Cricetulus griseus: one gene and its partner. The protein of the gene in region 1 purifies or fractionates together with the protein of each later gene. This does not show direct contact. Links are inferred from orthologs where the notes say so. Each region holds a gene or a part of one and is shown in the gene's direction. Other genes may lie near its edges. The genes, in order: Nkapd1 and Csnk2a2.

Region 1 (16,251 bases):
AATGGCTGTGATAACATGACTAGACTGTACTAGTTTGTTTTTACTTCCTAGCTTCCTTCCTTCCTAGCTTCCTTCCTTCCTGGCTTCCTTCCTTCCTGGCTTCCTTCCTCCCTAGCTTCCTTCCTCCCTAGCTTCCTTCCTCCCTAGCTTCCTTCCTTCCTAGCTTCCTTCCTTCCTTCCTCCCTCCCTCCTTCCCTCTCTCTCCACCTCCCCCTCCCTCTCTCCCCTGTGTCTGCTCGCTTTCTGATGGGGTTTCTTTGTGTATATAGCCCTGGCTGTCCTGGAACTCTTTCTGTAGACCAGGCTAGCTTTGAACTCAGAGATCTGCCTGTCTGATTTCCAAGTGCTGGTATAAAGGTGTGAGCACCACTGCCCAGCTGCTCTCTTTTTGACTTTTCAAGATAGGGTTTCTCTGTGTAGCCTTGGCTGTCCTACAACTCACTCTATAGACCAGGCTGGCCTTGAACTTAGATATCTGCCTGCCTCTGCCTCCTGAGTGCTAGGATTAAACACATGGGTCGACACCACCTGGCTTTCTGCACTAATTTTCAGTGGGGAATTAAAAAATTCTCCTTGGATTACTATAAATGTTTAGGTTTTATGGATTCCAACCTTGTCTAATAGCTTTAAAGATTTTCTACTGGAGTGTCTATTTCTTTTTTCATCTTATAAAAATTATATTATTTGGTAGGCATGGTACCTTATGCCTTTAATTCTAGCACTCAGGAGGCAGAGGCAGATAGATCTCTGTGAGTTTGAGGGCAGCCTGGTGTACATCCAGGCCAGCCAAGACTACAAAGAGAGACCTTGTCTCAAAAACAAAAACAAAACCAATTTTATTTATTGTGTTGGCAACTTTGTGTATGATGTGTGAGTATATATAATATGGGTGTGCCAAAGTGAACACTAAAAGTCAGAGCACAACTTTCAGGAATTTGTTTTTACTACTGTGGGCTCTGGGAATAGAACTCAGGTCATCAGTGTTTCCAGGCAAGCACCTTTAGCAACTTAGCCCTTTAGCCATCCCTGGAGTCTTATTAATTCGGTCAGTCATACTGTTTTCTTTAGTCTTTCTATTAGACTTTTTTGGTTTTTCGAGACAGGTTTTCTCTGTGTAGCTTTGGAGCCTATCTTGGCACTCCCTCTGGAGACCAGGCTGGCCTTGAACTCACAGAGATCTTCCTGCCTCTGCCTCCTTCAGCAAATACTACCAGTGTGTGCCACCACAACCGGCATTAGACCTTTTTTTAAAAAAGTATTTATTTTATTCATTATGTGTGTCTGTGTCTGTTGGTGTCTGCAGGGGTCAGAAGAGATCATTAGATGCCCTGAAGTTGGAGTTAATAGGCAGTTGTGAGCTCCTGACATGGTTCTGGGATTTGAATTAGCATCCTCTGCAAGACCAACAAGTATTCTTAACCACTGAGCCAACTCTTCTTACTAAAAGCCACATTTACTCACTCTCTTCGTCCAAGTCAATGGGCTTTCATAGTTCCTTTGTAATAATTTGGGTGTGACTAGGTAATCACACCCAAATTAATCCCAGTACTTAGGAGGCAGAAGCAGGTGGATCTCTGAGTTCAAGGCCAACCTGGTTTACAAAATAAGTTCCATATATATTCAGGCTTGACTGCTCGATGGGAGGTGTAGGATGCATGAATAATTAGGAATATCTCTAGAGCCTCATGTGCCCTTAAGCACAGGAAGGAGGTATGTGAGATGGGTCATAACCTGATTTTTAAAGCTACCTAGAGAAATCATTAGAAGAAAAAGGAATTTCAAGGGAATGTGTCCATGGAGTATGTAGACTTTGATGTATTACTGGCTGAGTATGACTGATATCAATGTTATGTGGTGCAAAGGTAGTGTCAGCATGTTCCATGAGTTTTGTTTATAATGCTCTATAAAGTGGCATCACAGATTGCTTTTAATTCTAAACGTTTGTCTTTTTTTCATTTATAGTCGGATGAGAAGTGATGGTTTTGATGAAGAAAGTCACAGAGACTACTGGAGGACAAAGAATGAAATTTCTGGGGCCCTAGATGATGATTTTCTTAAGGCTAAATCCTGGAACAAGAAGTTATATGATTATGAATCCAACATGCCAGACAGGTTTGTGACTATTTCTTATTACCCCTAGTGATATTTGGCCCAAGAATATGTATTTCTTGATATTATTGTCCTAGGGTTGGAGTAATGGCTTAGTGGTTAAGAACACTTGATGCTCTTGCAGGGGACCCATGTTTTGTTCCCAGTACCTACAAGGCAACTTATAAGTGTCCGTAACTCCAATTTCAGGGGATTTGACACCCTCTTCTGAGCTCTTTGGGCATCATACATGCATGTGATGCACATATATACAGGCAGACAAGACAGTCTTACACATAAGTATAAATAATTCTTCAAAACAGATTGACCCCATAAACATTTGTGAGTGTGCATAGCAGCAGTATTTATAATGACTAAGAAGTGAAAATCCAAATGGCTGTGACTGATGAATGCATAAACAGAATGTAGGCTTTCCATATAGTGGAATAGAACTTAGTGGTAAAAGGGATCTGTACTAAGTCTATATGCATAACCTTGAAAACTTTACAAAAGCCATACTCTTAAGATTTTGTTATGTGGTATGTCCAGAATGGATAATCCATAGAGACAGAAAGATTAATGGTTGCCTTGGGCCATAGGCTCTGCACTTTAAAAGGACAACTCTCTTGTCATATGAATCACTTCTCAGTAACTATCTTTAGAAAGTCCCAGTGTAGATAACATTATAAAGTAGTTTGGGAAAAGGACTTCACCGCTGAGGAGAGTTCTTTAGTGTCTCTTAAAGAACAGATACAACCTTTCAATGAACAACATCCTGTGTCTGAGATGATAGTATAGAACATAGAGCAGTTACTGAGGTGTGTTTTTAGTTTGCCCCCTTTTCCTTTGTTCTCTGTATGTGTGTATTCATGCAGTCCAAAATCTAATTGTGTTTTAATTTCCAAAAATGATATGCATTGCTTCATAAAAATATATGTATTATGATGTCATTTTACAGATGGGGTCACAGTGGATATAAAGAGTTGTATCCTGAAGAGTTTGAAACAGACAGGTAGGTAAATACACTTACTAGAGAAACAAAACCAAACACCTAAGATGAATGCAAAATTACGCCATAAGTAGAGTTCCTAATATTTACAAAAGATTTATTTGTCATTGAAAATATAACTAGAACCTGGAATGGTAGTATATGGCTGTAGTCCCAGCTGCTCAGGAGCCTGAGGCAGGAGGATTGCTTGAGTCCGGGAGTTTGAAGCCAGCCTGGGACATAATGAAATCTTGTTGGGAAGCAATTCTTATTTACCTTTCCTGATTGAAGTTTGGTATTCTGCAAGCCTGAGAGCTTTAGAAACTAATTGTTCACTATCATCTGTAGTGAACATGTTTAAAGGTACTTGAAACCTTGGATATTTTATATCGTCTTGTCTGTCTAGCTCCCATATTCTATTCCTTTCTTATACACACAATACCTTTTAAAATCTTTTTTTTTTTTTTTTCACTTTAAGGACATATCTTCATGCTTTTCTCTGCCACATCCTAATTGTTAGTTAGCATCATGCTTGTGTTTTAGGGTCATTGTTAAATAAGATAAGCTATACCAGACAGTGGATCTAATAACCCAGATGGCTAGTAAATGACCAAAGGGTTGGTAACTAGACACAGGAATGACTCAGGTCCTAGGTGGGACAGTAGTACTGTGAGGAATTTGTATGACATGCAATTAAAATCTTACAAATTGTTTCTGGAATTTACCATAGGTGACAGGAATCAGATAATGAAACTATGGATAAGGGAGCACAATGGTATTTAGTATTTCATATGTAACTCAGCATAGCAGATCAGGAGGTGTATTTTTTTTTTGGAGGGGGGTGGGAGGGGACGACAGGATTTTCTATAGCTTAAGGTGGCCTTGAACTCCTGGCCCTACTGCCCCTACCTTCTAAACATTGGAATTACAGGTTTATACCAGTATGGTTAGGTCAAATTAGGATTTTAAAGATGAGGAAATGAAACATTTTTGAGAGTAATAAAATAGAAACCTCACCAGTACTATTTGTTTTTTTTGTTTTTGGTTTTTTTTTGTTTTTTTGAGACAGTCTCTTTTTGTAGTCCTGGGGGCCTAGAACTTGCTATGTAGAGCAGGCTGTCCTCAAACTTGGAAGATCTACTTTTTGAGTACTGGGATTATAACTGTGTACCACCATACCGAGCTTAAAATTCTGATTTAAAGTTCAGATGTTAATAATTTAATGCAGAATAGTAAATATAAATATACATTTTCTTTCTTCCATAAAAGTTCTGTCTTTACTTTTCCTTAGTAGTGACCAGCAAGATATTACCAATGGGGAAAAAACATCTTCCCAGGTGAAAGCATCTGCCCAGGAATCCCGAAAACATAAGAAGTCAAAGAAATCCCATAAAAAGAAGCAGAAAAAACGGTCCCACAAAAAACAGAAAAAAAACAAAAAGGAAGCTGTGGACATAACAGCAGATTCCTCAAGTGAGTTCTCAGAAGAAACTGGAACTTCTAGTACCAGGAAAAGGAAACAACCACACAAGAGCAAGAAAAAATCCAGGAAAAAGTCTAAAAAATCTTTATCTTTGGGGAGAGAAAGGGCTACTTCCCAGTCAGATGATTCAGCAGCTAGCAGTTCTGAGGAAATCGAGGAAAGAGACACTAAGAAAACCAAACGGAAAAAGAAAGAGAAAAGTATTCATGTTCCTGTGGCTAACCCTGAAGTACAGGAGAGGACGAGCAAGCGCAGGAACTGGAAAGTGGCTACGGATGCAAGGTCTGCTGAAAGCTCAGAGGATGACTAAGTGGGAAAGTAGCAGTCCTGCTTCCCATGGACGCTGGTTGTCTGCAGCTCTTAATAATGGGGGTTTGCCAGTGACTCAGCACAGGAGTCTGAGGTCGGAGGTCAGAGTTGTCCTGCCACAGATACCTTTTTTCCTATTTTGGACTGTTAATCTCCACCCCCTTTTGTTGTTAGTAGGGAATCTGGTATTTTGTTAAGGTTTCTTGAAGAGATTATTTTTTGCAATTAATCACTTAGGGTAGAATACCTATATAGCAAATTAAAGAACCCAGAAAGCTGAAATCAGTAATGATCTGGGTACACCAATTGGAATGTTGGATTTGGGGGAATCAAGGGTCTGGGATGAAGGAGGATTGAAATAGTGCTAGATAGAATAGTTTGACAAGGAAACAATTGCTATTTATACAGGAGGTTTCCTGGCTTCCGCTTTGGTGCTTTGATTCTTCTATAGTTGGACCCTACAGGTATCTAATTTACTTAGTGGATAAATGGGTATAAAAACAAAACTTTTCCCTTCGTAGTAAGATCCACAGATGACTGCTAAGGAATGTGGGGTTTTCTGCCTAATTTCCCTGCCGGTCAGGGTCTACAGCTACATTTAGTATAACCCAAACATAACAGTAACTGGATAGTAATTGGTCTTCTAGTTTCATTGCTTTATATAGTGCCTAAAATGGGCTAAGTGTTTGAAATTATTTAAATGTTCAGTTGTCCTATCTATCAAATGGAAAGAATTAGGAAGTAGTCAGGTTGCCAATGATGCTTTCAAAGAGATTCAGGGCAACAGCCATCTAAGTGTTTTGTTTTTTTTTTGTTTTGTTTTGTTTTTTTTCCAAGTTGGGGATTGAATATAAGGCCTTGCATATACTAGGCAAGTGCTCTACCACTGAGCCATACCCCAGCCCTGTTGTTTTCCCTGTTCATTTCTAATTCTATTAACGAATTTTAGATTTTCCCTGAAACCAGTTGAATCAATTCCAAAATGAAACACGCTTCTCAGGGATATAACCCCCTTCTTCCCAGTCTTACTTTGTGTTATGATTATCAAGAACATATTATTTCTCCCTGCTATACTGTGATCCTGATATTAAAAGAAACCAAAATACCACTGCAAAGTGGCTGGTAGAACAGTTAGTTGACTTTTCATTCAGAGGAAAGGTAAAGTGACATTGTCAGGGTTTTTGTTTTTGAGGTCGTCACTTTTGGTACTGAGTAGAAAGCACAAAAACTCAGACCTAAGATTGTGTGTGGGTCATGGTTCTGCCACTAATTGATTGAGTTCTAGAGCAGGTTAATTTAACCTCCCTGGCCTTACTTTTTGCATGTGTAATACAAAAATACTTCATGGTTAGCATGACAGACACCAGCAATAGAATATTACTATGCTGACATCCCATGAAGTGGCATTTTATAGTTTTAACTAAATTCGTGCTCTTTATGGAACATACTTCTAATAAAGTACTTGTTTTTAAAATACATAGTTGGCCAGATGTGCCCTAGCCCTTGATTATGAGCAGGTGCTACCTTTTGGGATATTGAAACACTACTTAACTTTGGTACTCAAATGTCAATGTTCCATGGTATGTTTTTTCTTTGGGTTTAGTAGAGGTTTAATGAGAGGAGAGTCTAGTTACTACCTCATAACCTTCTTGAAGCAAGTGAAATCTTTGTTGGAAGTAGTTTTGGGCATGTATTTTTAAAGCAGTTTTGTGCTACAAAAGTACTGATTCTAAGCACAGACTCAGGAACATGGTCCTGCAGAATAAGGCACTTCCAAGAAGTTGGTTCTGTTTGGGTCTTGACCTTACCTTCCTCCCATACTAACAGGCTTTTTCTCTTCTCCAAGAAATGCACATTTTGCTTGATTTTTTTTTTTGCCCTCCCCCCCCAACCATGTTCATCTTTTCTCAGTCATATAAGCAATAAAATTGTTTTCTGTTGTAAACCTTTCTTACCCCTAAATTCCCTTCCATGCCTTAGGCTAAGGCTTTGATAGTTCCTCTAATCCTCTTAAAGATGGCTTAGGGTGACTTTTCAAAACCTGTGATCTCCCATTTTCATTACCAGCCAAGGAACATGTCTTTTCAATGTTCTGTCATTCAGAGATCTTTATGTTGGTTCCTAAACTGGGACTTAGAACAAAAAGAATTAGAGACGTCACATTTATTAACCGGTGTGATACAACCTGGAATTACTGAATTCCAATAAATAAATTTCACTTTTGGACATTTGATCTGTTACTTTTTAGCACCAACAGACTTGGTAGCTGCCTGATGCTAACTCAACATGTTGACAACTCTCCACTGGCCATTCAATCTGCCTAGTAACAAGTCTTTTGGATCTTCTGTCATTCCTGAGGTATGGCCTACTGCCCTCCTTTCTGTACGATCTGGGCAAACCGACCGGTGATAGCAAGAGTGGTGTCAATGAAGCGGTCCACACAGCTAGAGAGGCAGTTTTCAGTGCGGGAGTCTAGCCGATTTCCTGGCTTCTCCACACACTTATCCCAACATAGTTCCATGAAGTGATGCACCTATGAGGAGAGAAAAACCTTAATCACTGAAGTCTATAGATATTTTTTATTCTGTGTCTCGATAACAATCACTTTTAATATATTGTGCATGGGATCACTTTGGTGTCTAGTCACCAGTAATTTCCTCATCCTTATATACCGTACTATCGTTTTTCAAGACAGGGTTTCTCTGTGTAGCCTTGGCTGACCTGGAACTCGCTCTGTAAACCTGGCTGGCCTCAAACTCAAAAGATCTGCCTGAGTGGATTAAAGGAGTGGGCCATCACTGCCTGCCCACAATTCTCAAAGCAACTAGCACTATTACAAAATGGGAAGAAGTCAGGATCTAATTTCTCCAAATTGAGCATGGTTTGGAATTGTACCTATAGACACATAGTGATATTACTTGGGAAGCTAAGTACTAAGTAATCAGCTCTTGAAATTCAGGACAGCTATCAGTATTTCCAAGGTCAGCAACGGTTAGCATACTGATTTGAAGTACGCCTGAAAACGCCAAACCCTACCTTACCGAGTCTACACTGATTATTGCAGCGCTCACCTTTATCTAATAATGATCATCACTTCCAAAAACATCACATGATTCAAAGCAGAGAGGCAGCGGGCAACAACGAACTCCGAACTCAAGGTGGGGACCGGTGTCTTCCACACAGGCCCTTGAATCTCAAGGTCGGAACCCAGATATTCTAATACCATTCCGTACCAGTGGCCGGCTAATATGACCACCATGTTCCTCTGTCGCCCAAACCTTCCCCCTGCTTTGCACCTCTTTCGTCCCACGCAGCACTAGACTCCCGGACAGTGAACACTGTAGGTCCACCAGGGCGGGAGGAGCAGCCGGGATCCAGCATCGAGTGAGCCTGCTGTGCTGAGAGTCCAGGCCTCCGTTGGTGCTCAGGGCCTGCGCCTCACCCTCCTTCCCTTGTCCCTCATCATCGTACCTGCGCAGTGAACTGCGCCTTCTGCTGCTCCGCGGCCACCAGGCGCTGTAACTCCGCTTCGTCTGCTTCACCAAGCTCGGCCATGGTCGGCGTGAGTGACTCCGCTGGTGTGCGCACGCACGGTAGCAACACACCGCCTCCCCCCTTCCGGTTCACCCACCAGGTTGCCCTGCCCTTCTTTCAAGCGGGGCGGGGCTTGCTACACAACTACTTCCGGGTTGTTGAGCGACCTTGAGCCCTCGTAAGCGACATGGCGGTTCTCTTAAAGCTGGGAGTCCTCTGCAGTGGCCAAGGAGGCCGAGGTGAGGTGTCTTGACCGTCAGAGGTTCCTCCTGCGACCTAGAGCAGGGGAAGAAAAGGAGTGAGGGCTCGACCACCAGGTGGTGGGACGTCATGAGAGGAAGGAACTTCTTCCTCTTTGGCCCCGGAGTCGCCTACAAGGACGCAGCCTGGACCGCTGTAGCCCGAAGGCCCAAGTGGTTACCTAGGGCCTGCTCTCCCCAGCTGGCACTTCCAGCCTCCGGGCTGCGGTGTGCTGCCGGGCTAATGTGAGTGTGGGTGGAAGTAATCCGTTTGGAAATCTTTTGAGACAGCGGCTTGCTGTGCAGTGCTGGCTTTCCTCTTATCTAGCCATGTAGATCAGGCTCTGGGTTTTCCGGGAGCTTCCCGACTGTTCCCGAGTGATTAACAGCCACGCACCGACACTCAGGGCTTCCATAATCATTTTAACCAGGCATTTTGGTTATACAAGAGGCTGGTATGCAAACACGAATAAAACAATTTCTGCTCTCAAAGAACTTGGGGGAGGTGGTACAGATAATGTAACGCAAAAACTGCTGTGCTGTGTAGACATTGTTAATGTGAGTCCAGAGAAAGTTTGGGGTAATTGTTTTGGAAGGACTAACCTGGCTTGGCTCTGCAGAGAAGTACATTATAGTCAGCAACCGAGAGCAGCAAAAGCTGTGGTGAAAGGATACAAATGTGCTTAGCATGCACGAGATGTGAAGTGTGAGATAGAAATGAACAAATAAAATAGTATGTTGAAAGCCAAAGTGTGAAATTAGCCTAGAAAGGTGAAATGAGCTAAATCACAGAATTTACTTTATAGTATTTGGAAGATACAGAATTTCTTTGTTGCCCAGGTTGGCAGTAACATTGAAAGGCTTGATAGGTTTGCAGTGTAGGTTTATTTTAGTTGTTATTATTGTTCCTTAGGCTGGCTGAAACTGGTTCTGGCCCAGCCTCCGAAGTAGCTGGTGTGTACCACCTTGCCTGGCAGTCTTTTTCGTTTGAATCCAGCATCTCATGAATGCTAAGCACATGCCCTTTTGCCAAACTATATACTGTCAGCCTAAACTTACTGTTTAGTAACAGTATCACCATCAAGGATGGCTTGATGGTGATAGAGCGGGTTTGGATGCAAGTCGGGGAGATGAGATAAGTCACTGTTGTGGTAGACTAGCCTGGTGAAGTCCTGAGCTTGGAAGGTACAAGGAAAAGAAGGCAGTCTCAGGAAATGTTAAAGAGATATGTCAGTAGGATTTGGGGACTTACAGAAGGGAAATCCCTGACTGGCTATTGGCTATTATTGGATTTCTAGAACAGATATAGGAAGTATTAAAAACAATTCCACAGTTGAATGGTTGGGAAGTACAAAATGATTGGAATAACACTTCACAGAAGCAAGGAAAGAGAAGGAAGAAAGAGCAGGAGGAGCTGGGCTGCAACTCCGTTGGTAGAATGCTTGAACAGGCCTACGATTCTAGTGCTTGGGGGTGAGGAAGGAGGATCAGGAAGTTCAAGGTCATGGGCAAGGGAGAAAGAGTGAGGAAAGTCTCGGAGTTAGAAGCCAGCCTGGTCTGCATAGAGAGTTCCAGGCCAGCCAACACTATAAAGTGAGACCCTGTTTCAAAAAACAAACCCCACCTCCAAGAAAAAAAAGAGAGAAAATATTAAATTATTATTTTTTGTGTGTATATATGCAGTTAGCATTCTGGGAACTCATTTATCCTTTGCATATGTTGCCTAGTTTTTAGCAGTGTTATGAAGTTAATGCAGTTGTTGACTACTGGCTAATTTTTGCCTACTTGATACAACTTAGAGTCATTTGAAAAGAGGGAATTTGACTGAAGAATTGTCTCCTTCAGATTGACTTTTGGCCATGTGTGTGAGAAACTGTCTTGATTGATGGTTGATGTGGGAGGGCCCAGCCCACTGTGGACAGCACTGTCCTAGGCACTTGTGCCTTAGCTGAGTAAGAAAGCAAGCTGATTGTGAGCCAGGTAGTAAGCAGCACTCCTCTGTGACTTCTGCTTCACTTCCTTTGTGTTTTCTTGCTCTGATGTCCCTCAATGATGGACTGTGACCTGGAAGCACAAGCTAAAATAAACCCATTCTTCCTCCAAGTTGATTTTGGTCATGGTATTTATCATAGTAACAGAAAGCAAACTCAACATTCTTCTTCTGCAAATGAAACCAAACCTTAGAGAGCTATTTAACTTAGCTGCTCATTAACCAATAGCTAATCTGTGATGTAGCTGAGTGAACATCAGAGGCAGGATCCAAAAGGAGACAGTAAGGAGTTCGGGAATACAAAATGAGCTTTGGTTTTGAAAAGGAAGAGGGCAATAGGTGAACTTTCTAAACTATGTTGACTATCTTGAGGGCAAAGACGTTTGTCCTTATCTTTCTTGCTTCATTGCCAAGCACAGTATTGATTGTAGTTAATACTAGATAAGTAGATGAGTAAATGAACAAGAGGCTACCAGATTTTGTTTTTTGTTTTTTGTTTTTAATAAATGAAAGCAAAGTGAGTTATTATTATAAGAGTCTGCAGATTTTTGTTGTTCTTGAGACAGGGTCTCATGTAATCCCATGCTGACCTCCAACTCCATATGAAGATGAGGATAGCCTTGAATTTCTGCTTCTGATTGTCATGTGCTGGGGCTGTATGTGGTGCTGGAAACAGCCTCATGCATGCTAGGCAAGCAACTGAACTACATCCCCAGCACAGATTTTTTTTTTTTTTTTTTTTTTTTTTTTTTTTTTTTTTTGTAAATAAAAGTTTGGAACTGGAGAAATGGTTAAGAGCAATGACTCCTCTTTCAGAGAACTTGGGTTCTCTTCCCAGCACCCACATGGGGGCTCATAACTATAACTCTAGGTCTAGGAGAGGTGTAACTCCAGTTATGGGGAAGGATGTCTGTGGGCACCAGGCATGTACATGGTACATGGACATACATATAGGTAAAACACTCAGACATGTAAAAATAAATCCTTTAAAAAAAAGTTTATGATTTGAGTGGCATGTTCACGGTAGTTTAGAAAGTCTGTTGGTCCTGCTAGGAAGTGCTTATGATCCCTGTTTTACCTCCTCAGCTCTGTTGCTCCGAAGCCGGGTGGTCAAACCTGCTTATGTCTCAGCGTTTCTCCAGGACCAGCCTACCCCAGGATGGCATGGCACACAGCACATTCACCTGTCACCAAGCTACCATTGTATGTTCTCTCTACCGATGCCTTGTGAACAATTTTATTTATTGTTTAACAATTTTATTTATTATTTTAAGTGTATGGGTGTTTTGTCTGCTTGTCTTGTCTGGGTACTTGGCTTGCCTGGTGCACAGAGTCCAGAAGAGGGTTTTGGGTTCCAGACAGTTGTGTACAGTTACTGGTGCTTCAGCCATCTTTATCTGGACAAATCATCTATCTGGACTAATCATCATGTATTTGGCGGGTCTTGGTGTCTCTTGGGGAGTCTGTCCTGTCTGCTGGTTAAATGAAGACCTAGTTTACACTCCTGGGCAGATGGTGCAAACATGAGTGATGATGCCATTTGTATTCACAGAGAATCTTCTGGCCTAACTTCAAAATTTGTTACATTGCTGTCAAGAAAGCAGCTCTGTAGGAAGTCTGTTCAGTGTAGCTCAGTTACTGGGGGTTTTGTTGTTGTTTTGTTTTGTTTTGTTTGTTTGCCAATGGAGAGGAGCCAATTGTGTACTAAATCATGGATTTACAGCTGGAAATTTTTTTTATGTTGATTAAAACCATATGGAATTTATTAGATAAATACTGTGTGGATAGTCACATTAGACAATCTGAACATAAATAATGAGTTAACCCATATTTCCATTTTTTAAAGTCTGGAGAGAGAGAAATAATTATTTTGGCCTGGCTTGTCTGAAAATTGCTTTGTAGTCCAGACTAGCCTCAAACTTGCTGCATTCTTAAAAATCATGCATTTTTATTTGTCTTTTTGTTGTTGGTTTTTTGTTTTTGTTTTTGTTTTTTGTTTTTTTGAGCTAGGTCTCAGAATGTAGGTGAACTCAGTCTGTATTCCAGACTGGCACAGTCCTCCAGCCTCAGCCTCCTTGGGGCTGTCATGCCTGGCCTTTAAGATCAGTATTTGTAAAGTGTCTTGGTTTTTAAGTTTTACATTTCAGTCCTTCCCAATTCTTAAATCGGCCACTTAAGAATTAGAGAGATTAGAGCTGTTGGGCTTTTTTGCCTTTTAAACCCTTTTTGTTTTCTACCAGTTTTCATTTCTGGATTCCTTTGTTAGATTTAGTAGACTGGTTCTGGAGTACATGGGACTGAAGAAAGTTTCCTAAAGTTGTATGCTTAGGTCTTAATGTTTATGCCCATGTGCATTTTTCTGGGTAGGAACTCCTTCCTTTTGTCAGGTTCTCTGAGGAGTTTATAGCTTCTTAGAAATGCTTAGAGCCCCTAGATGGTGGTGGTGCATGCCTTTAATCCTTGCACTTGGGAGGCAGAGGCAGGTGGATCTCTGTGAGTTTGGGGACAGCCAGAGCTCCACAGTGAAACCCTGTCTCAAAAAAACATACATACAAACAAACAAAAAAAAGTGAGGGCAGAGTAAGGAAGTCCATGAATGCCCGAATAAAAGAATAACAAATATTTATTTGGGGAACACTCATACAATGAAGATAAGGAGCTTCCATGGTCTTTGCCCCTGGAGGTTCAGGATGCGGCGATGCAGAATGTGCTGTGATCAGGTCTTAGACCACCACCTAAGAGAGACCGAGAGAGAGAGAGACAGAGACAGAGAGAGAGAGAGAGAGAGAGAGAGAGAGAGAGAGAGAGAGAGAGAGAGAGAGAGAGAAACTTCCTCTTCATTATAAGGGATCACATCCGCACGCTGAAGCCACACTCTTAAGTTCGGTACCCTGAAACTACTGGTGGAAACAAAAGAAATGCTTAGAGCCTGTGTTGTTTTCCCCTTGTCTAAAAGCAGTCTTTGTGTTTTATTTGTTTGGCACTGAATTGTAAAGAGGAAGAAGGACTATAACCTTAAAAGGTATTCTTGGATCCATGTTTCTCTTTCATTTGGCTGGTTTAAGCTGTTTTTAAAACATACTACATTTTCTCCAAAGATTAGACAGTTATTAGTATTATTATTTTAAAGCGGTCCATTAGTGATCACTAAATTACATTCATAATATGCCTGTTTGACTGAAGTCCAAGGCTGCCTTGATTTCACAGATGTGTAGCCTGCCTTCTTGCCTTTAAGAAAATGTATCTTGTGCTCAGAGACACGAAGGATATGCTTATTGTCTGATTCTGTGTTCAGAATGGGTCTGCCAAGTATACTATTTACCATCCTGATAGTTTTAATAATCATTGGATTTGTTGAAGTGGTTGTCTTTCCTCAACTCTGTGAATCTCCTCATTTTTATAGCTGGTTCCAAGGCTGCATCTCTCCATTGGACTAGTGAGAGGGCTGTCAGTGTTTTGCTCTTGGGCCTGCTTCCAGCTGGGTACCTGAATCCCTGCTCTGTGGTGGACTACTCCCTGGCTGCTGCCCTCACCCTGCACGGTCACTGGCAAGTACAACAGTCCTTCCCCATTATCTGCTTGTTCTGTTTGCTGCAAGCCTGTCTGTTTGTTTATGAAGAAAACATTGACTGAAATTCTCAAGACTTCTGGAAAACTTAAAACATACAAACAACTAGCAACAGCCAAATAAATCTGGGTATGTGGGTAGTTTATTAATATTTAAGTTTTTTGAGTCAAAGTAGCCTAAGCTGGCCTTAAACTTTAAATTGTCTTGACTCAGTCTCACGTGCTGGGACTACATATGAGTCCTTCTGTCTTAGCTACTTCTCTATTGCTGTGAAGAGACACTATGACCAAGACTTTATTTGGGACTTACAGTTTCAGAAGGTGAGTCCATGACTGTCATGGTGGGGAGCATGGCGGCAGACTGGCAAGTGTGGTCTGGAGCCAGAGCTGAGAGCTCACATCCTGATTCATAAGTAGGAGGGAGGGAGGGAGGGAGGGAGGGAGGGTGGGAGAGAGAGAGAGAGAGAGAGAGAGAGAGAGAGAGAGAGAGAGAGAGAGAGAGAGACGCACTGGGAATGGTGAGAATCTTGTGAAACCTCCAAGGCACCCCCGGTGACACTTCCAGCAAGGCTACACCTCCTAGTCCTCCTCAAAGAGTTCCACCAATTGGGGACCAAGTAGTCAAATACATGAGCCTGTGGAAGCCTTTCTCATTCAAACCACCAAAACCACTACCACCACCTCCACCATCGCTGCCACCACACAAATACACACCCACTTGTCTCATTTCCAGCTGCCCCTTTCAGGCACACTGGCTTTCTTAATATTCCTCAGATGTGCTGGGGACCCTCCACTCTCTTCATGTTCTGTGTGAAACTTTTACTACTTATGTGCTTGGCTTGTCCCCCATCTTAAGATGTTGAACATTGCACTCTCAGCAAAGCCTTCCGTAACCACTTACTCAGTTGTCACATTTGTCATCTTTTCCTTAGGAACACTGCTACATCTATTTACTATTTCGTGTGTTTGTCCCTTCCTACCCTTCCTGTCTATAATTAAGTGCAGATACAGAGCTGGTCAGGCAACTCAGTTGTTACAGTGTTTGTCTTGCATTTGTTAAGCACTGTGTTCTCTCCCCACCATTCCAGGCATGGTGGTGCTTGCCTGTAATCCAGCACCAAGGAGGAGGAGGCAAAAGGATCAGAGATTCAAAGTCGTCCTTAGCAACATAGCAAATTTGAGGCCATAGCAATATCTCATTACAAAAAAGAAAACTGTAACAACAAAAAAGAAAACAAAATGTGCCTGCATTAAAACTTACACAAGAATGTCATAGCACATTACTTAAATTAGTTAAAAGTGAAAACCATCCATGTGGCCAAAATAAAATATAGAGTATTATTCAGCCACATAAAGAAATGGAGTACTGAGGTGTGCTGCAATATGGATGAGGGTTGAAAGCAAAATCATGCTGAATAAAGAAGTATGACACAAAGGTCATAGTTGATTCCTGCATGGTCTTATTTGTCTGAAATGCCAGAATAGGCAAATCTATAGAGATGAGTAAGTCAGTGATTGGGTGGTGAGTGGGCTAATGGCTAGTGCTTCTTTTGCATGTGTGAAAATGTTCTAGAATCAGTGATGGTAGTTCACAACTTTGACTGCACTAAAAAACGGACTTGTATACTGTTACAAAGGTGAAATTTGCTTGGCGTGGTGGCGCATGCCTTTAATCTCAGCACTCAGGAGGTAGAGGCAGGTGGATCTCTAGGTTCAAGGCCAGCCTGGTCTAGAGAGTGAATTCCAGGACAGTCAGGGCTACACAGAGAAACCCTGTCTTGAAGAAAAAAACAAAGCAAAAACTGCTGTAGAAATAGTAAAGTTGGGTCACTTCTTATTTAGGATACTTTCTGCTTAAAACCTGGTGTTTCTTTGGGCACTCTGCAGTCTGCCCCTGCTTTATTATGGTTTCCATTTTACTCACAGACTCCAGCTATTCATTAACTTACAGTTCCTCAGAGATGCCAGGGTCCTTGTCACTTTCCTTTGGGTGTTCTTCTCTTTCAAGTCACCCTTCCTAAGGTGTTCGCTCATGCTGCATATGTAGCCACTT
Region 2 (16,689 bases), on another chromosome or scaffold:
CTATCCACTTGTTGATTGGCCAGTCAGTGATTTGATGCCCTTACTGTTAAATCTGTCCTTCCCTCCCATTGTTAGCTTTATCTTTTTGCTAAGTCATCTTGGAGTTAGTTGGACATTATCGTACTTGGTTCTTGAATGTGCTGTTAATGGAACCTGAGTATTTTCCTACGTTAGCTGCAGTACCCAAGAAGTTTAGTTATTTACACTGTAATCCATCTACTATCGTGGCCTTTTTCAGAACTTTCTCAGTAACTATTGTCCCCATAATGTCTTTTAGAACTATGTTTGTGAGTATATAGTTTAAGATCAACTGGGCTTTTCAAAAAGTCCTTTATTGTTGACTCCTAATTTGATTGTACTTAAAATATGATCTATCCAGGTTGTGCATCCCTGGTTTAAAAATCACAGATATGAAGTGCTTCACAGTATCATTATCACCCCCACAATGTAGAAAGTGGGAAGCACACCAAGAAAGTTTTGTTTCATGATCAGAACTATTTAAAATATTGGATGAACTGAATATGGTGGTACATGCCCTTAATCTCACCACTTGCCGAGTAGAGACAGGTGGATCTCTGAGTTTGAAGCCATCCAGAGCTACGTAGTAAGATCCTGTCTCAAAAAAAAGTTTGAAACATATGAAACACAAATGGATTTTGGATTTGTCCAGATGTGACTGGGGCATTTAATACTAGTCCTCAGAAGGCAGAAGCTGAAGGATTTGGAATTTGAGGTCAACCTGGGCTACATGAGACCCTATTTTTTTTTTAAATCCCTGAATACCCCAAAACAAAACCATAAATGAATTTTATGTTGGATCCCGTCACCAAGATACTATTATGCTTATGCAAATATTCTAAAAGCTGGAAAATGCCTGATACTAGAAACACCTTTAATCCCAGCACTCAAGAGGCAGAAGCAGGCAGGTCTCTTGAGTTCAAGGAGAGCCTGGTCTATAGAGCGAGTACCAGGACAGCAAGGACTACACAGAGAAACCCTGTCTCAAAAAAACAAGCAAGCAAACAAATACTTTTGATCCCAAGCACTGCAGACACCCAGCCTGTATAGTGCTGGTTATTTGGAGTCTGTTGATGTTTGCTTTGTAATTCTAAAGTGGGTCATGTTTTAAACCATGATGCTTAGTTCTTTAATCATTTCCCCTAGTGTTTCACTTCATGGGAGAGGTGCTAGTTTGGTCAGTTCCCCTTTAAAACCACTGATTGTTTTCTTTATGTCAAAGTTAAACAGTAGAAGAAACATGGTGGCCCTTAAAAAGACAAAACTTAAAGAAAAGTGGGGAGGATTGTCTCTCAGAGAGACCACTTAACAGCAGACTCCTTAGCTGGAAAGTGTCTCAAGTGAAAATGAGATATGGTGACATACACCTGTAAACTCAGTGCTTGGGAGACCAAGATAGGAGGATTGTATCTACGTTTAAGGCCAACCTGGATTACATAGTGAGTTCTGGGTCAGCTTGAGCTCATAGGAAGACCATGTCTCAGAACAAGTCTAAAGGAAAAGGCATTCTGTTCAGACATGTCAGTTACCAAATTTTAACATTAAATATTGGTAAGACTTAATTGAGCTTCATTCCTGAGAAAGTGGTAGGTTCACCTTGATACATTTGAGTAGTGGCTCTGTGCTAGCTTGTCCTGTGGGGCTTACAGACTGGATGGTTTCCTCATTAGAGGAACCAGTAGACTACATTTAGGGGTCATTAACCATTTTCTTAAGACTTGTGACATTTTCAGATTGTAAAGTTTATTTACTAGATTAAAAATGTGTTCTAGTTCTCTAAATTTCCAAAAAGTTTTTTTTTGGGGGGGGGGGTCTGTCTTGAAGGTTACATGTTAGCAGTATCTAAATTGGTGACTACAACATGAAATAACACCTGTCTTTTACTTTATATTCCCTCCTTTTTGGTCTTCCTCCATTTGGGCCCTGAGATTTTTTTCATGTAGTCTGAACTGTGTATGCTCACTCTGTTCTCATACCTGTGCTCTTGTGTACTGGGTCATAGTCCATTGGAAATGAAGTCCTCTTGAATTGTAGCCATTGAGGCAAAGACTGTGTATGGGATCTGACTGGCTATGATGCACTGCCCTGCCCCCAACTCTTTGGGGCCCACTGTGGCCATTCCTTGGGTGTCTGACTTTGCACAGACCTAAAGCCTGATTATCAAGTTGCATTGTCTGCCATTTTCCTCTTCAGATGTTGCAAGGTTTATTTTTAAAAGTCAGAGACATATTCAACCAGGCTCCTTAGTTTACTCCTGTAGTAAAACTGATTTCTAGGGAAACACCAGTGTATTTGAGGCTTTGCAGCTGAACTGGAATAGGTAAGTGGTTTCTTCCTTACTACCTTCATAACCCTTTTTTTATTTCATTTTATTTGTCTGTGTGTCTGTGTGTGTGTGTAAATCAGACTTGTGGGAGTCAGTTCCTTTTTGTATCATGTGGGCTCTAGGGATCTAACTCAGGTCGTTGGGTGTGGTAGCAAGTGCCTTTACTTGTGAGCCCATAATCTTCTGGGAAACATAGCTTGGTATGTTTTTGATAAGTCTCTTATGCAAATGTGAGCAAAGCTTACTTCCTGCCACATTCTGCAGTTGCTTGGTTAATAATATTCTCTATATAGCTGGGGGGAAAGTGTGGTTCTTAGGAACTTTCTCTTTCTAATTTCACATGAACTCTGGTAGTTCTCATGGAAGATAGGTTTTGTTTTGTTCCACTAACTGGTGAGCATTATAAAAGCAAGTGGAGAAGCTAGGCATGCTACCCTGCTATATGAGGGCTTGAGTTTGAGAGTTTGATGGAGAAAATGGGTGTAGGGTATAGCTGTGCAGTGAGTTCATGATGCTTTGGAAGGTGGGGAGAGTTCAGAGATTCTGAATTAACACAGTAGTGGCCATCAGCTGAGGGCAGCTGTTTCCCTCATATGTATATAGCCAGCTACTCAGGCAGGCAGCAGGTTCATGTTGACACAGTGAGGTTTTACCTTCAGAACTCCAGATCACTGCCAGTACATGGTGCTAATTCTAGGACCACTGAGAGTCTCACTCTGTGAACACCTTAGAGCAGTGGTTCTCAAACTGTGGGTTAGGACCCCTCTGGGGTCCCATATCAGATATTTATATTACTATTCGTAACAGTAGCAAAATTACAGATATGAAGTAGCAACAGAATAATTTTATGGTTGGGGGTCACCACAACATGAACTGTATATAAAAGGGTTTCAGCATTAGGAAATTTGAGGATCACTGCCCTGGAGGGAGAGCATAGCCTAGAGTTCAAAGAAAGGAGAGACCCCTATTTCTGTATAGAAAGCTGATGGGATGGTTTGGAGAGGAGCACTGGAAGGGACAATGGAGGAACAGATACGTGTTGGTATCTTCAGAGAAGGTGATTCCTGAAGCCTGCAGTGGAGATTGGAGCAACAACTATTAGAGGAAGCCAGATTAGCCCCTGGAGAGGCCTTAATCATAAGCCCATGAGGTTACTTGGTCCAGATATAGTTTAGTCTTACCCACCATGAACACCAAGAAAAAGGAGGTCAGGCTGAGTGGTGGCCAGCCACGCGCTGTTGTGTAGGTAATGTCCTTCATGTTCAGTAAAATTGGTTCTGGTTGGAATAGTCAGAAGTACTTTGTTGACAGGCCAAGGACATTTATTTTTATACTGTAGGCCCTTTACAGGATGATTGATATAGTACATGATACAAAAGGAAAACCTTTTACAGATAAAAGTTCAAATAAAATAGCCCATATTGGTTTTCTAGAAGTTAAAAAAAAAAAAAAAATCCTAGCATTCTGAGGGTTTGAGAATTTGATCTTTTCTCTTTTCTGGGCTATTTATTGACCTGATGGTTCAGTTTAGTACAGCCTGTGCAGTTGATCTCTCTTGTATCCAAGTTGGTATCAAAGCCTAGACCTGAATATTCTGGTTGCCAGTTGTGACCAAGTACTCGATAAGAAACTTGTCTTGAAGCACAGGGCTGGGAACAGAAACCTGGGGTTTGGTTCTTAGGAAGCTGAAGCTACGAGGGTAGAAATGGTGAGTAAGTGTGAGGACAGCTCAGCTACCCCACCCCACCCCCCACGGCTTATCCCCAGCCCAGGGGTGAGACCCTAGCAACTCAGCAGCTCCACAGCTTATGGGCCTGAGCCAGCAGCTGTCTGAGGTTGATAGAGCTATACAGTCCCACTAAACTGGAAAGGCAAGTTACTCTTCCCTAAAGGGGGAAGGGAGGAGTGGCCTCTTCCTCTACACCTGTGCTTTTTATTAGTTTCTTTGTCATGTATTCAGATAAGTGATTTTATTTTCCTCTTATAGAATCACAGTGTAGGCCAGCCTGATCTATAAAGCTACACAGAGAAACCCAATGTAGCCAATCTTTGCTCCTTGGCGCATCCCTGTGATGTGTGATTCTCTTTTCTAATAGAGGGAAAGTTTAAAGTCTTTTCAATTAACTTTGTTTATAGAAAGGGTTGCCTAGATTGACAGGGAAAGATTTACTTGAAATTTTCTATGAACAACAATGTCTAACTTTGCTTGTGGTACTCTGATACTCTGCTCCAAGAAATTGAAATTTATTTCAGAACTCCATGAGGTGGATCTCTGGATTATGAGTAATGAAAGTTTCCATGAGTGTATTAGCTTGTCTTTTGGTCTCTTTGACACTGCTGCCCCGTCCCCCCTTTTTTAATTTATTTGTGGGTTTTTTATTTTTTTGAGACAGGGTTTCTCTGTGGTTTTGGAGCCTGTCCTGGAACTCACTCTGTAGACAAGACTGGCCTCAAACTCACAGAGATCTACCTGCCTCTGCCTCCCAAGTTCTGAGATTAAAGGTGTGCACCACCACCGCCTGGCACCTTTTTATTTTTTAATGCCTTATTCCATTTTAAAAAAATGTCTGTTATTGCCTGTGAAATCTTTTTCAGCCAGGAATTGTTTGGTAGGGAACAGAGGGCATCTCCAAATGTCCCTCACTTTCCTGTTCCTTTACAAACCATTTCATTCCCCTAATACCAGTCCACATCAGCTGAGGAAATTCTCCAGGTGCTATGTGCTGGGTGGACTTAGCTTGATGGAGACAACTAGACTTCACAGCAGTGTGGCTATGGTTATTAGAATTGTGGAAAAGTAAGTAGCAAAGATCAAGTTGGCTGAAGTGTTAACTTTTCCCCTCTCTACTGAAGGTGGGATGCTGACTATTCATCTTTGCCATTCCAGGTCAGGCAGTGAAGTTGTGGGTGTCTGTTGTAACTAAGTTTGCAGAGGAAGGCCAGAGTTTAGAATAGCAAATACAGACTAAATTGACTTTCTGTTCTCTGAAATCTGTTTCAGCAACTCTACCAGATCCTGACTGACTTTGATATCCGGTTTTATATGTATGAACTACTTAAAGTAAGTAGCATTTGTAGGTGGTGCTTCTCCCCACCCCCACCCCACCCCAAGGCTTATTCCTTTAAGAAATTTTTTAAAAGAATTCAAGCAGATTCAAGCAGAGTATTTCCTGGTACCCAGAGAATCTAGTGAGACTTCTGATGAGAATTCTGTTGTGAGACCTTATAGAATTAAAAAAACAAAAACTTAGAAGACTAGCCAAGCTCAGAACTCCCTGTGGCTCTTGTTGGCAGTTGAATTTTTTCTTTGACAGTTAATGAATCCTAGTCTTCTGTGTAGAAAGTCACATTAAACTTAAATAAAATGGCTTTTTATTGCTAATAATCTCATGAGTTAGCCTGGTAACATTTTTTTAGATTCAAGTCTGCCTGACCGAGACAAAATGGTCTGGGTTGGCCTCATTCATGTATTTGTGATGTAGGCTGGCATTGCTGGAAAGTTGAGGTCCTGGTCTTTCAAGTAGCATAAGAATGGAGACCTCAAAGTTAAGCACTTCAACCTGGCCTTGCTGGTTTGACCAGAGTCAATCCTATGGCCAGCCTTGACTTAAAAAGGTATAAAATGGTCATTGTTTCTTGATGGAAAAGTCATGAAGAGGGTACAGAATTGACAGTCATTTTCCCCAAACTGTCTTAACATCCGTTTTATCTATCCCTCACACCAAGCGCTGACTAGCCCTTAATCTGGGAGAAGTGATGTGTGGACCTTCTAAATGACTTAAAAATACCAAGTACTGTAAAGAAAAAAAAAAAAAGAAGAAGCATTATTAATTGACAGAGGAATGTTTTCATTTGTGTAGGTGATGCACTTGTAAAGCATTCTGAAAATGCTACATGTATCTTTTAGGGTAATGAATCACTAAGAACTTAGTGAGAACTATGAACTTCCCTTTCCCTAGAAGTGCATTATAAATACAGGCTTGTCCAGGCATGGTGGTATGTGACTTTAATCCTACCACTGGGGAGATAGAGGTGGAGGTAGGTGGGTCTCTTGAGTACAAGACAAGTCTAGTCTACATAGTGGGTTCCAGGCCAGCCAGAGCTACAAAGTGAAACCTCTGTCTACAAAAATAATAATTAATAATAAATAAATAACGATATTGCAAAAACTTGGGGGTACGGGTTAGGGGTTGTTGATCTCAATTAAGAAAATTTCCAAGGTTGGGTTTGTGTGGGAACTGAAACATTGCTTGAACAAAATACCAGGTTGAAATAAGGCTGGACTTCAGGAGTGGAAGTTTGAAGAACTGGCCCAGTAAAATGAATGCTTTTCCTTAGAATTGTACTTGAATGATATGCCTGTTGCTGGAGCCAAAGTGGTGGGCTTGGAATTCACGCCATGTCTATTGAGCTTGGTTTTTGTTGATAAGAGCTTGACCTGGTCCACCTTATCTGTGTCTTCTCCAGACTAGAAATCCAATAGGAAGAGGTTTGCAGTATTACAAACAGCAAACTGTATTTCCTAAAGGTCCTCCCAGAAAGCCCCACACATGCACCCTTGAGAGCCACTGTCCGTTGCTCACAAGTGCTCACAAGTCAATATTCAGGTTTTGTAGATTTTGGCCAGCACCAGCTAGATAACAACAGAACCTAGCACATCTGTCCTTGGTGCTGGGGGCCGTGCTTTTGTCTGGTGATAGCAGCACTCTAGCTCTCCCTGCTAATGAATGCTCAGAAACTGTAGCAGATTTTTAAGACTGAAGTCTCCTCAGAATTTAAAGGCCTGTTAGGAGCCCCAACAGGGTGTCTGGCCAGTGAATGCGGCCAAGAATTAATCACTGCTACCTTTTTGCCCCCAGCCTTCTGTGTGTTTTTCACATCCTGGAAGTATTATCTGGATTAGATCTTTGACAAAGACTAGGTAAAATAGCAGAAATCAACATTTTCCCTTTTAGAAAAGGATAGAAGCAGGAACCAGGAAATATTTAACTTCACAGCCAGTGTAGAGGAAAATAAGGTGAAGGCTGTGTGACTGTTCAGTGACCACCCCCACCCCCCAGGCTTTATGTGATCAGATTCAGGGGAATATGCCCTCATGGACCCTAGTTTCATAAGAAAACTGTCGAGATGGGATTTGGGTGGGAGTTATGAAATGCTGCTTAAACAATACCAGTTGAAAGAAAGCACAACAGCACATTGGAGTCTTGGCTACAGCTGTTGTAAAATAAATCTTGAGTTTCCGTGATATTAGACTTTATATGTGTAAGCCTTCAGCCAAGTGTCCTTAGATCCATGGTAGGCATTTAAACAAAACTTAAGAATTCTATTCTGTCCATGCGATACTAGTCACATGCCAAGTGCTCAGTGATCTTGCATAGCTGGTGGCTACTCTACTATACACCACAGCTATAGATTGCCACTGTTTGCTACAAAAAATGATGGACAAGGCTGGTGGAGAAATTATGGATGTCCAGAAAGTGCTCTTAAGTCACCTCTGTCCCCAGGTTTTGTATTGCCCACTTTCCAAATTCAAATTAAAAGCACCAAACACTGTCTGTTACTGTTGCTACAGATTAGGGAACTTTAAATGTTCCAATCCCAGTTCTCCCTCCCTCTTCTCCTCCTGCTTCCCCCACCCCACCTCCCATCCCCTCCTCAGAGAGGGTAAGCCCTCACCTAGAAAGTCACCTAAGTCTGCAGGGAGCATATTTTTGGTGTGCTGATCATCCTGTTTAAATACACCTCCAGCATAAAGATGCCAGGTACAGTGCCCTTGGTCTGCCACTGCTCCCCAACCAAGTGGTACTGGGTATCTAGAATTATTTTTGGCTGTTAACAGCTTGAGTGGCACAGCTGACACCTAGACTAAGTAGAAGTTCTGTTGAACATTCTTTAATGCAGGATAGCCCTACATGAGGAATTTTCTGGCCTCTTGAAGCTTTCCAGTGCTCTTTAAGCCAAAGGTCTAACTTTGGGGTTCACAAAGATGGCCCATGATATGTATGGAAAAGAAGACTTAAGAGCTGTGAGTGTTTGGATGGTGTCAGGGAGTGTATTAGATTTAAAAAAAAAAAAAAAATCTGGATATAGTGAGCATGCCTTCAATCCCAACACTCAGGAGTCTGAGGCAGGATATCAACTTTGAGGTCATCTGTGTGCAGAGAGAGGGCAGCCTGACTGATCTGTGTAACAATCAAAAGGAAAAGGGCTTATTAATTGAGACATTTCTTCAAAGGCAATATAAATATAGAATGATCAATAAACATGTAATGATAATTTGCTTCATCACTAATAAGGAAATACAAATCAGAAACACATGAGATACCACGTTAACGTACCTAAATAGCTGTAATTAAAAAAGGAACAGTGACAGGAAGTGGTGGTGCTTGACTTTAATCCCAGCACGTGAGAGGCAGAGGCAGGTGAGTTCGACGTCAGCCTGGTTTACAGAGCAAGTTCCAGGACAGGCTCCAAAGTTAGACAGAGAAACCCCGTCTCAAGGTGATGGATACCTTTAATCCCAGCACTTAGGAGGAAGAGGCAGGCAGATCTCTGTAAGTCAGAGCCAGCCTGGTCTATAGAGTGAGTTACATAGAGAAACCCAGTCTTGAAAAAACAAAAGAACAGTGCCAAGTGTTGTTGAGAATGTGGAAAGACTGGAACCATTGTGTGTTGGACTTGAGAAAACAGGCAGTTCCTTAGAAATTGTAAAGCTAACATACAACAAGGCACTTCTGCCCCTAAAAAAACTTACACACAGTTTGCATACTCCCAAAAAAATCTTACACATGGTTATTCATTGCAGCATTGTTCTCAACAGCCAGAAGTAGAAACAACCCAAGTCAGTAAACTAGTAAGTTCATAAATGATTCAGTCTCAAAATTAAATAAGCTCAGTGAGAAAGGTGAACAAAGTACTGTAGCATTAGGAATGTCTGGTAGGAAGAAATCTCTAGAACAGATACCCGATCCACCAGTGGCTTCAAGAAGCTTGGCGTGGGCATTATCTCAAACTCCAGGAAACTGTGAAGGTGCTGAAAAGCTCTGAAACATGGTGACTTGGTTATACAGCTGTCAGTTTACTAAAGATCATTGGCTTTTAACACCACAAAGCCTTTTGATTCTATTACAGGAAGTAGTTTTCTCTTTTAGAATAGTAATGATAATTCTTAAATGCTGGCTCAGGTTTTATGTTTACGGAAAATGTAAATGCTTCTTATCTGGAAAACTCATAGCCCACATAGCATAAGTGTGCCTTGTTTTAAGATACGTTAAGGTGTCATTCTTCATGCCCACATGGATTCTGAGGTCCCACACTCTGGCCTCTCATCCCTTCTTTTTAAAGCAACCTTCAGCATGATCATTGACAGCCCCCTTTCCACTGGCTGCCAGCTGTAGTGTCCACGGAGAGCATCTTTTTGTTTCTCTCCTTAAAGGCAGTAAGCTGTCCTTTTTTGAGACTGTTCAAGTTAAAGTGTCACAAATAATAAAAATGTGTTTGCGTTGTGGGTGGTAGAGGGTTTGCTTACTTTTCTCTGTGCTTTCTTACCTACTAGGCTCTGGATTACTGCCACAGCAAGGGAATCATGCACAGGGATGTGAAACCTCACAATGTCATGATAGATCACCAACAAAAAAAGGTACCAATCCAGCCAGGCAGCACCAAATCTTTGCTGAAGGTTTAGGAAAAACCTAAACATTGTCCAATAGCATTGTGGTGTATGTAGACCACACTGATTTCTTAAGTAGACTGCATTACTTTGACTTCTCTAGTCTCCAGGAAGTACACAGAGACCTTGACTTTGGTCACTAGTTTTATTTTGGTTTTAGTGTTCAAAGGGCCTCAGGAAGAAACTACATCAGTGGTCTCTGCTTTGATTCTTCGTGAGCATTAGACCAGTCAGACTAGCCCTAAAAAAAATACACTTGGGTGTTTCCAACTCTGGTTGTCATAGACAGGGTTAGCTTAGTGACCAACTAGAGCAGCACTCTAAGGGTGTGACTTACGTGGTCACACACGTAAGCCCTTCATTAGTGCCTGGAGCTTATGTTAAGAGCTATGAATGGTGGGGGCATGTGTTCCACATGTAAGTAGCATGGAGACCAGAAAAAAATTAAAAAAAAAAAAAAAAAAACAGTATAACTTAAAAGGGAAAAAACTCAGATATATTCCAAGTACTGTGCTCCATAAATGACCTCATCTGCAGTTTCTGAAGTAAACTTTTTCCTGGGTACACTGTGTGTGGCCGAATACCTGTTGTAGAGATGCAGTGTGGCCTCGTCATAGGCAATGGCATCTCAAAGTGCACCTTACCCATTCTGTTGGGTCTTTGTCTTTCTCATAGCTCCGACTGATTGATTGGGGTCTGGCGGAGTTCTATCATCCTGCCCAGGAGTACAATGTTCGAGTGGCCTCGAGGTACTTCAAGGGACCAGAGCTCCTTGTGGACTATCAGGTGAACTTATTAGTGAAGCTGCGCAGAGCTATTTTTATATTTCCTTAGGAATTTTCCTGGTTGCTGTGTGGTCACTTTGGATGCATTCAAAACCCAGTTATTCTACTCTAAAGGTTTTACTCAGCAACATTAAAAAATTAATTATTTTTATGCATGTATGTATATGTGCCACAGCCCATGTGGGAAGGTCGGAAGACAACTTGCAGGTGTTTGTTCTCTCCACCATATTGGTTCTTGTTACTAAACTTAGTTTAGTAGGCTTGACAGCCTTTACCAGCTGAGTCTTTTGGTGGCTTTTTGGGGTGGCGGGGTGCGGTGACTTAGTTACAGAGTAATTGCAGAGAGGCTGAGGATGGAACTTAGTAGTAGATGTTTGCCTAATGTGTATAAGGCTCTCTCAAAAGTCAGAGCTAGAGGTCAGATGTCAAAAGTCAGAGCTAGAGGTCAGATGGATATGAGAAACTTAATCAATGAGTGTCTAACTATCCTTGACTGATGGATCATCCTTCCTGCATTCAGATGTATGATTACAGCTTAGACATGTGGAGCTTGGGCTGCATGTTAGCGAGCATGATATTCCGAAAGGAGCCATTCTTCCATGGGCAGGACAACTATGACCAGGTGAGCAGATTCATCCCTTGCTTGTTTGTCATGAATGTTAGGGAAATAGCCTCTGGGGACTGTGTAAGCTAAAGGATTGTTCAGAATTGTATGAGTGAGCATGAGGGCCCCAAGCATGCCGAGACAGACAATGCTGCCTAGTGAACTTTCAAGATGGGTCTAAGAAGTAAGGCACTTCTTTATCTAACAAAATCACATTATAGTTATTTGATCAGTGTCCCCAAAGATGTTAGCATCTAAGTTATATCAACCCTTTAAAAGCAGTTTAGGGGGCTGGAGAGATGGCTCAGAGGTTAAGAGCACTGACTGATCTTCCAGAGGTCCTGAGTTCAATTTCCAGCAACCACATGGTGGCTCACAACCATCGGTTATGAGATCTGGTGCCCTCTTCTGGCCTGCAGGGATATATGCAGGCTGAACACTATATACATAATAATTTTTTTTTTTTTTTTTAAAGCAGTTTAGAAACTTGCATTCATGTGAGTGTTGTGTTCTTAAGTCTCTGTTTATCCTAGACTCGGGTCTCTGTTAAGTCATTTGGGATTTGAGTGGCATGGGATTTCCTGATTCCCAGGCCTAGCACAGTGTCCACAAAAGCTCACAGAAAGCACTGTGCTTGGTGGTTGGGTCAGTTTTGTTCTGTGTTTCAGCTTGTTCGAATTGCCAAGGTTCTGGGGACAGATGAGCTGTATGGATATCTGAAGAAGTACCACATAGACCTAGATCCACACTTCAATGATATCTTGGGACAGTAAGTAAGAAAGGAGAGGGAGGGAGGGAGAGAAGGAGAAAGGAAAGAAGGAAGCACTTTGCTCTACTTCAGAAGTGGTAAAGTTAGACAACATCCAGTTTCCCTTTTCTAACTTCAATATTGATATTTATTTACTTATTTATTGAATGAACCAGGGTCTCAGTGGCTATGTAGATCAGGGCTAGTTTTGAACTCACCGGGATCTACCTGCCTTGGCCTCCCAAATGGTACGACTCCTATTTATCAGTAGAAAATGGAAAATAAGCCTTGTGTAGATATGCATGTTTCTAATCACAACACTTGGGAGGCTGCAGCAGGAGAATCAAGAGTTTGATCCTGTGGAAGCAAATGGAAAATAAAGTCATAATGTTATAGAAAAAATGTTTATTTGGTCAAAGCTTGTGCTTTTTCAAAAGAAATTATTTCTTCTTGTTTTATATGTAAGCCTGTTTTACCTGTGTGCACATAATGTACTGTGTGTGTATGCTTAGCCAGAAAAGGGGTCCTCTGGAAGTAGAGTTACAGATAGTTAATAGCTACCATGTGGGTGCTGGGAACTGAACCTGGGTTCACTGGGAAAGCAGCCAGTGCTCTTAACTACTGAGCCATCTCCCTAGCCCTGCATATGCTTATTTTGATGGCAAATCTTAGAAAACGAGGCTTCTTCAAATAAGTGAATAGCTTATTTTCTGAAGTTTTATAATAAATATTAAGGCATGCTAAATTTTCAGGTACAGTACCTAGTTTCGTGACTTAGGTATTTTGGGGTGGGGATGGTCTTATTTGTTTGCTGTGTAGCCTCCTGGCCTCAACCTGAGTGCTCAATTATAGGTGTGTGCCACCATGTCCAGCCTCAGTGCAGTGTGTTAAAAGTAAATGTTTGGCTAGTGGTCTTCAGGCATTATTTTATGAAATTGCTTGTTTCTAAAGCCAACCTTCTAAATATATCTACTGACCAGTGCATCACTTAGTCACCGCCAGGCCTTACTCACGGTTGATTAAAAGACAGGCATAAGAGTAATCCAGAAAGATTGAACAATTCTCCCTCAGATATAGATATTTTCAATAGATTCTGCTCATCTAATAATTGAGCAGTTTTATGTCATGGTTATAACTGTGGGTGACAGTGTGTGTATACTAGCCCATTTGAAGTGGGCACCGATAAGAATGAGCTTCAGCTGTTGCACGAAGTGCAGTATTCTAAGGGTTTGTTTATGTTATGTCTATTAAAGGAGGGTTTATCTGGTTGTTTAGTCTCAGAATACTAATATTCACTTTGTTTGTTTTTGTTTTTTAGACATTCACGGAAGCGCTGGGAAAACTTTATCCATAGTGAAAACAGACACCTTGTCAGTCCTGAGGCCCTAGATCTTCTTGACAAGCTCCTGCGGTACGACCATCAACAGAGACTGACTGCCAAAGAGGCCATGGAGCACCCGTACTTCTGTGAGTTATTAAATGGCAAAAGATGTCACCTTTATCTTTGGGGTCAGACAGAAAACTAGGTATTTGGATTTAGATCAGCCTAGGAATTTGGCTTTAAATTTTATTCATTTTACTGGACCACTGAGGCCATTTTATGGGTGATTTGATTAGTTCTCGAAGGTGTTTGCTGTTCAATGTTAGTAGTACCTCTGAGGCCAGGCTGTATAACCCACTGTCATCACCCTGGGCTTGTATACTGAAAGGTATCTAAGATTTTTTTTTCAAGTGCAAAAACCTAATCAAAGATTATTTTTTCTCTTTTAAAAAAAATTTAGGGGGGGTGGAGGAGGAGGGATGGGGGTGAGGGAAAGGGAGAAGGGATTGACATATGAAACAAGCTTGTTTCTAATTTGAACCAATTAATAATAATAATAATAATAATAATAATAATAATAATATTTAGTTAAAAGTAGTAAGATCAGGTCGGGTGGTGGTGGCAGCACACACCTTTAATCCCAGCACTCAGGAGGCAGAGGCAGGCAGATCTCTGTGATTTTGAGGCCAGACTGGTCTACAGAGTGAGTTCCGGGACAGCCAGGGCTACACAGAGAAACCCTGTCTTGAAAAACAAAACAAAGTAGTAAGATCATTGCTTTTTTAATGTGATTCTAAAGGAAGCAACATGTAAGCAAGAGGAATTGCAGGTAAGCAGGTAGCAGGTATGGCAGCTGGATTCTGACCTGTGACATCTCTCGGAGCATATGTGTTCCTTCTGCACTTGCTTGTGTTTTGGGTCCATGTAGTGTTCTTCCCACTGAAAGTCTCCTAGACACATCACCCTTGTCATTGACAGAAGAGGGTGGCTTAGTCTAGTCATGGAAGAAGTTGAATGTGACTTATCTTCATTTCTGTTCCTTAAAGTTTTTGTCTGTTGTTTGACCACTTTTTCCTTTGGAGTTTACTAATTCCCAGTAATATTAACAGATAGGAAGGACTTATTGCCATGATCTTAAACTTTAGGCAGAAGTTTAAGGCAACAAAAAAATGTAAAGGGTCTTCTCATTTAGCCTTCTGGACCCTAAACAGCTGACATTCCATTGTTTGCTTTCTAATTTCCAACACAGAAAGCTGCTTTTATCCTTCAAGATAGGCCACTTTAGGATATTGGTGTTGCCCTGAGTGGTGGTCCACTCCTTTAAACCAAGTACTCAGAGGCAAAGTTAGTCAGATCTTTGTGAGTCTAAGGCCAGCTTGGGATACATAGTAAGACTGTATCTTAAAAACAACAACAACAACAAACAAACAAACAAAATAGCCAGGCGGTGGTGATGCATACCTTTAATTCCAGGATTGGGAAGGCAGAGGCAAGTGGATCCCTGAGTTCAAATTGTCCAGCCTGAACTACAGAGTGAGTTCCATGATAGCCTAGGCTACACAGAGAAACCCTGTCTCAAAAAACAAGCAAGCAAGCTAGCAAACAAACAAAACCAAAATAAAAAGCAGTACTGGTGTAAACTCATGAGGCAAATGTGTAAGGATTGCAAATTTAAGACCATCTAAGGTATATAGTTAGGCCCTGCCTCAGGAATAATAATAAAAACAACCTGATAGATATTTTAGATAATCATTGTTTGTTTACTTCCCTAAATAAACTCCATATTTCACTGCTGCTTAAAATGGCTGGGGTTTTGTTTGTTTGTTTTCTTTTTTCTTGGGGGGGGGGCGTGTCCCAGACAGGGTTTCTCTATGGCTTCGGAGGCTGTCCTGAAACTAGTTCTTGTAGATCCGCCTGCCTCTGCCTCCCAAGTGCTGGAACTAAAGGCCTGCGCCACCACCTCCCAGTTGTCAATGGCTTTTTTATTCACCCTTGTTTATGACATGCTAGGTATGATGTTGGTACTCAGAAATCACCAGAAATATTGTGAATTTTGAACAGTGGTGAGTTGGGGTCTCTGCTTTTTAGCAGTAGGGTCTGTATTCTAAGGAAGTAGAAAAAAATCAACTCTATATAATTCCTCAGTGGGCATGAGGGCCACCCTGGCCTATGCTGGAGGCTAAGGCTAAAGAAGAATGAGAGTTCAGTGCTAGTCTGAGCAACAAAAAAAATTTTCAGAAGGAGTTGAGGATGTGACTTAGTTGATTGCCTAGCATGTGTGAGACTGGGTTCTATTCCCTGCCTTGAGGGCAAAAAGAAAAGGAGTTCTTTCCTGGTCATGTCTTGGTGCCTGGTTCTTGTGTGGCCTGAGTTCCATGTAAGTGTCTGTCTTGGTGCATATAGAAGAGGAAAGGCAGGTTAGCCATGGCATTCCCACTACACCCTCAGTGCTGGTGCTGACATGGAGACCTGTGCTCCTCCTCTCTTGCAGACCCTGTGGTGAAGGAGCAGTCCCAGCCTTGTGCAGAGAACACCGTGCTTTCCAGTGGCCTCAGCGCAGCACGATGAAGCCTGGGGAATCGACGGTAATGCGGCACTGATGCTTGCCAATAAAACCAACCAACCAAACAAAAACTTGAAGGAAACTGCAGTGTGATAAAAAGAAATTCTAATCATTCCTTCTAAAGGCAAAGAAGAGTAAAGACCTAAAGCCTGTCAAAAGCAAGAAACTCCCCAGTACTAGTCTGCAGGGAGCTGCGCTGTACAGTGTGGCAGTGCACATAGTTCAGGATCTGAGGGGACTCTCCCTTTGGAATGCATGGGAGATGAGAAGCTCGGAGTTGTTGTACACGTACCTGCGTTTAACAGGATACCACTGTTGAATTAACCCGTTCGGTCAACAAGCTCTGAATATCTGACTTCCTATCTATTCCATTGTGGTGTCTGGTTTTCTTCTGTGAGAATTCAGGCTCAAGTTTTAGCAAGTCAGCAGTCTATTCTGACACACCAGCCTCATTTACAAAAAAAAAAAAAAAAAAAAGAAAAAGAAAAGAAAAAAGAAAAGAAAAAAAAGATTAAAACAGTGACAGTATTTTTTTTAAGCTCTTTTACAAATTCATGTGTTATGTATTTTTTTATGACATGAGCTCTCCAGGAAATGTACCTCATTCTTGCAGTTTTCTTCTAAGTATATTCATTTGGAAGCAAACTGCAGTCAC

What was found.
Region 2: the proteins of Nkapd1 (region 1) and Csnk2a2 purify together in Homo sapiens (affinity purification with mass spectrometry; 5 studies listed by BioGRID and IntAct, counting the BioPlex papers as one, with this or other methods). This does not show direct contact. The link is inferred for Cricetulus griseus from reciprocal best matches to the Homo sapiens genes NKAPD1 and CSNK2A2.

Annotation. Positions count from the first base shown.
Region 1 is NC_048597.1:162,363,307-162,379,557, reverse strand, and holds the end of Nkapd1 (uncharacterized protein NKAPD1), read left to right. Parts: intron 1-1,962; coding exon 1,963-2,112; intron 2,113-3,046; coding exon 3,047-3,100; intron 3,101-4,367; coding exon 4,368-4,869; 3' UTR 4,870-7,094; downstream 7,095-16,251. Other genes in the region: Timm8b (mitochondrial import inner membrane translocase subunit Tim8 B), read right to left, coding at 7,234-7,401, 8,340-8,423; Sdhd (succinate dehydrogenase [ubiquinone] cytochrome b small subunit, mitochondrial), read left to right, coding at 8,590-8,641, 11,718-11,834, 14,035-14,179.
Region 2 is NC_048596.1:171,639,159-171,655,847, reverse strand, and holds part of Csnk2a2 (casein kinase II subunit alpha'), read left to right. Parts: intron 1-5,345; coding exon 5,346-5,405; intron 5,406-9,899; coding exon 9,900-9,983; intron 9,984-10,688; coding exon 10,689-10,799; intron 10,800-11,318; coding exon 11,319-11,420; intron 11,421-12,070; coding exon 12,071-12,171; intron 12,172-13,468; coding exon 13,469-13,617; intron 13,618-15,962; coding exon 15,963-16,039; 3' UTR 16,040-16,056; exon of another isoform or gene 16,057-16,689.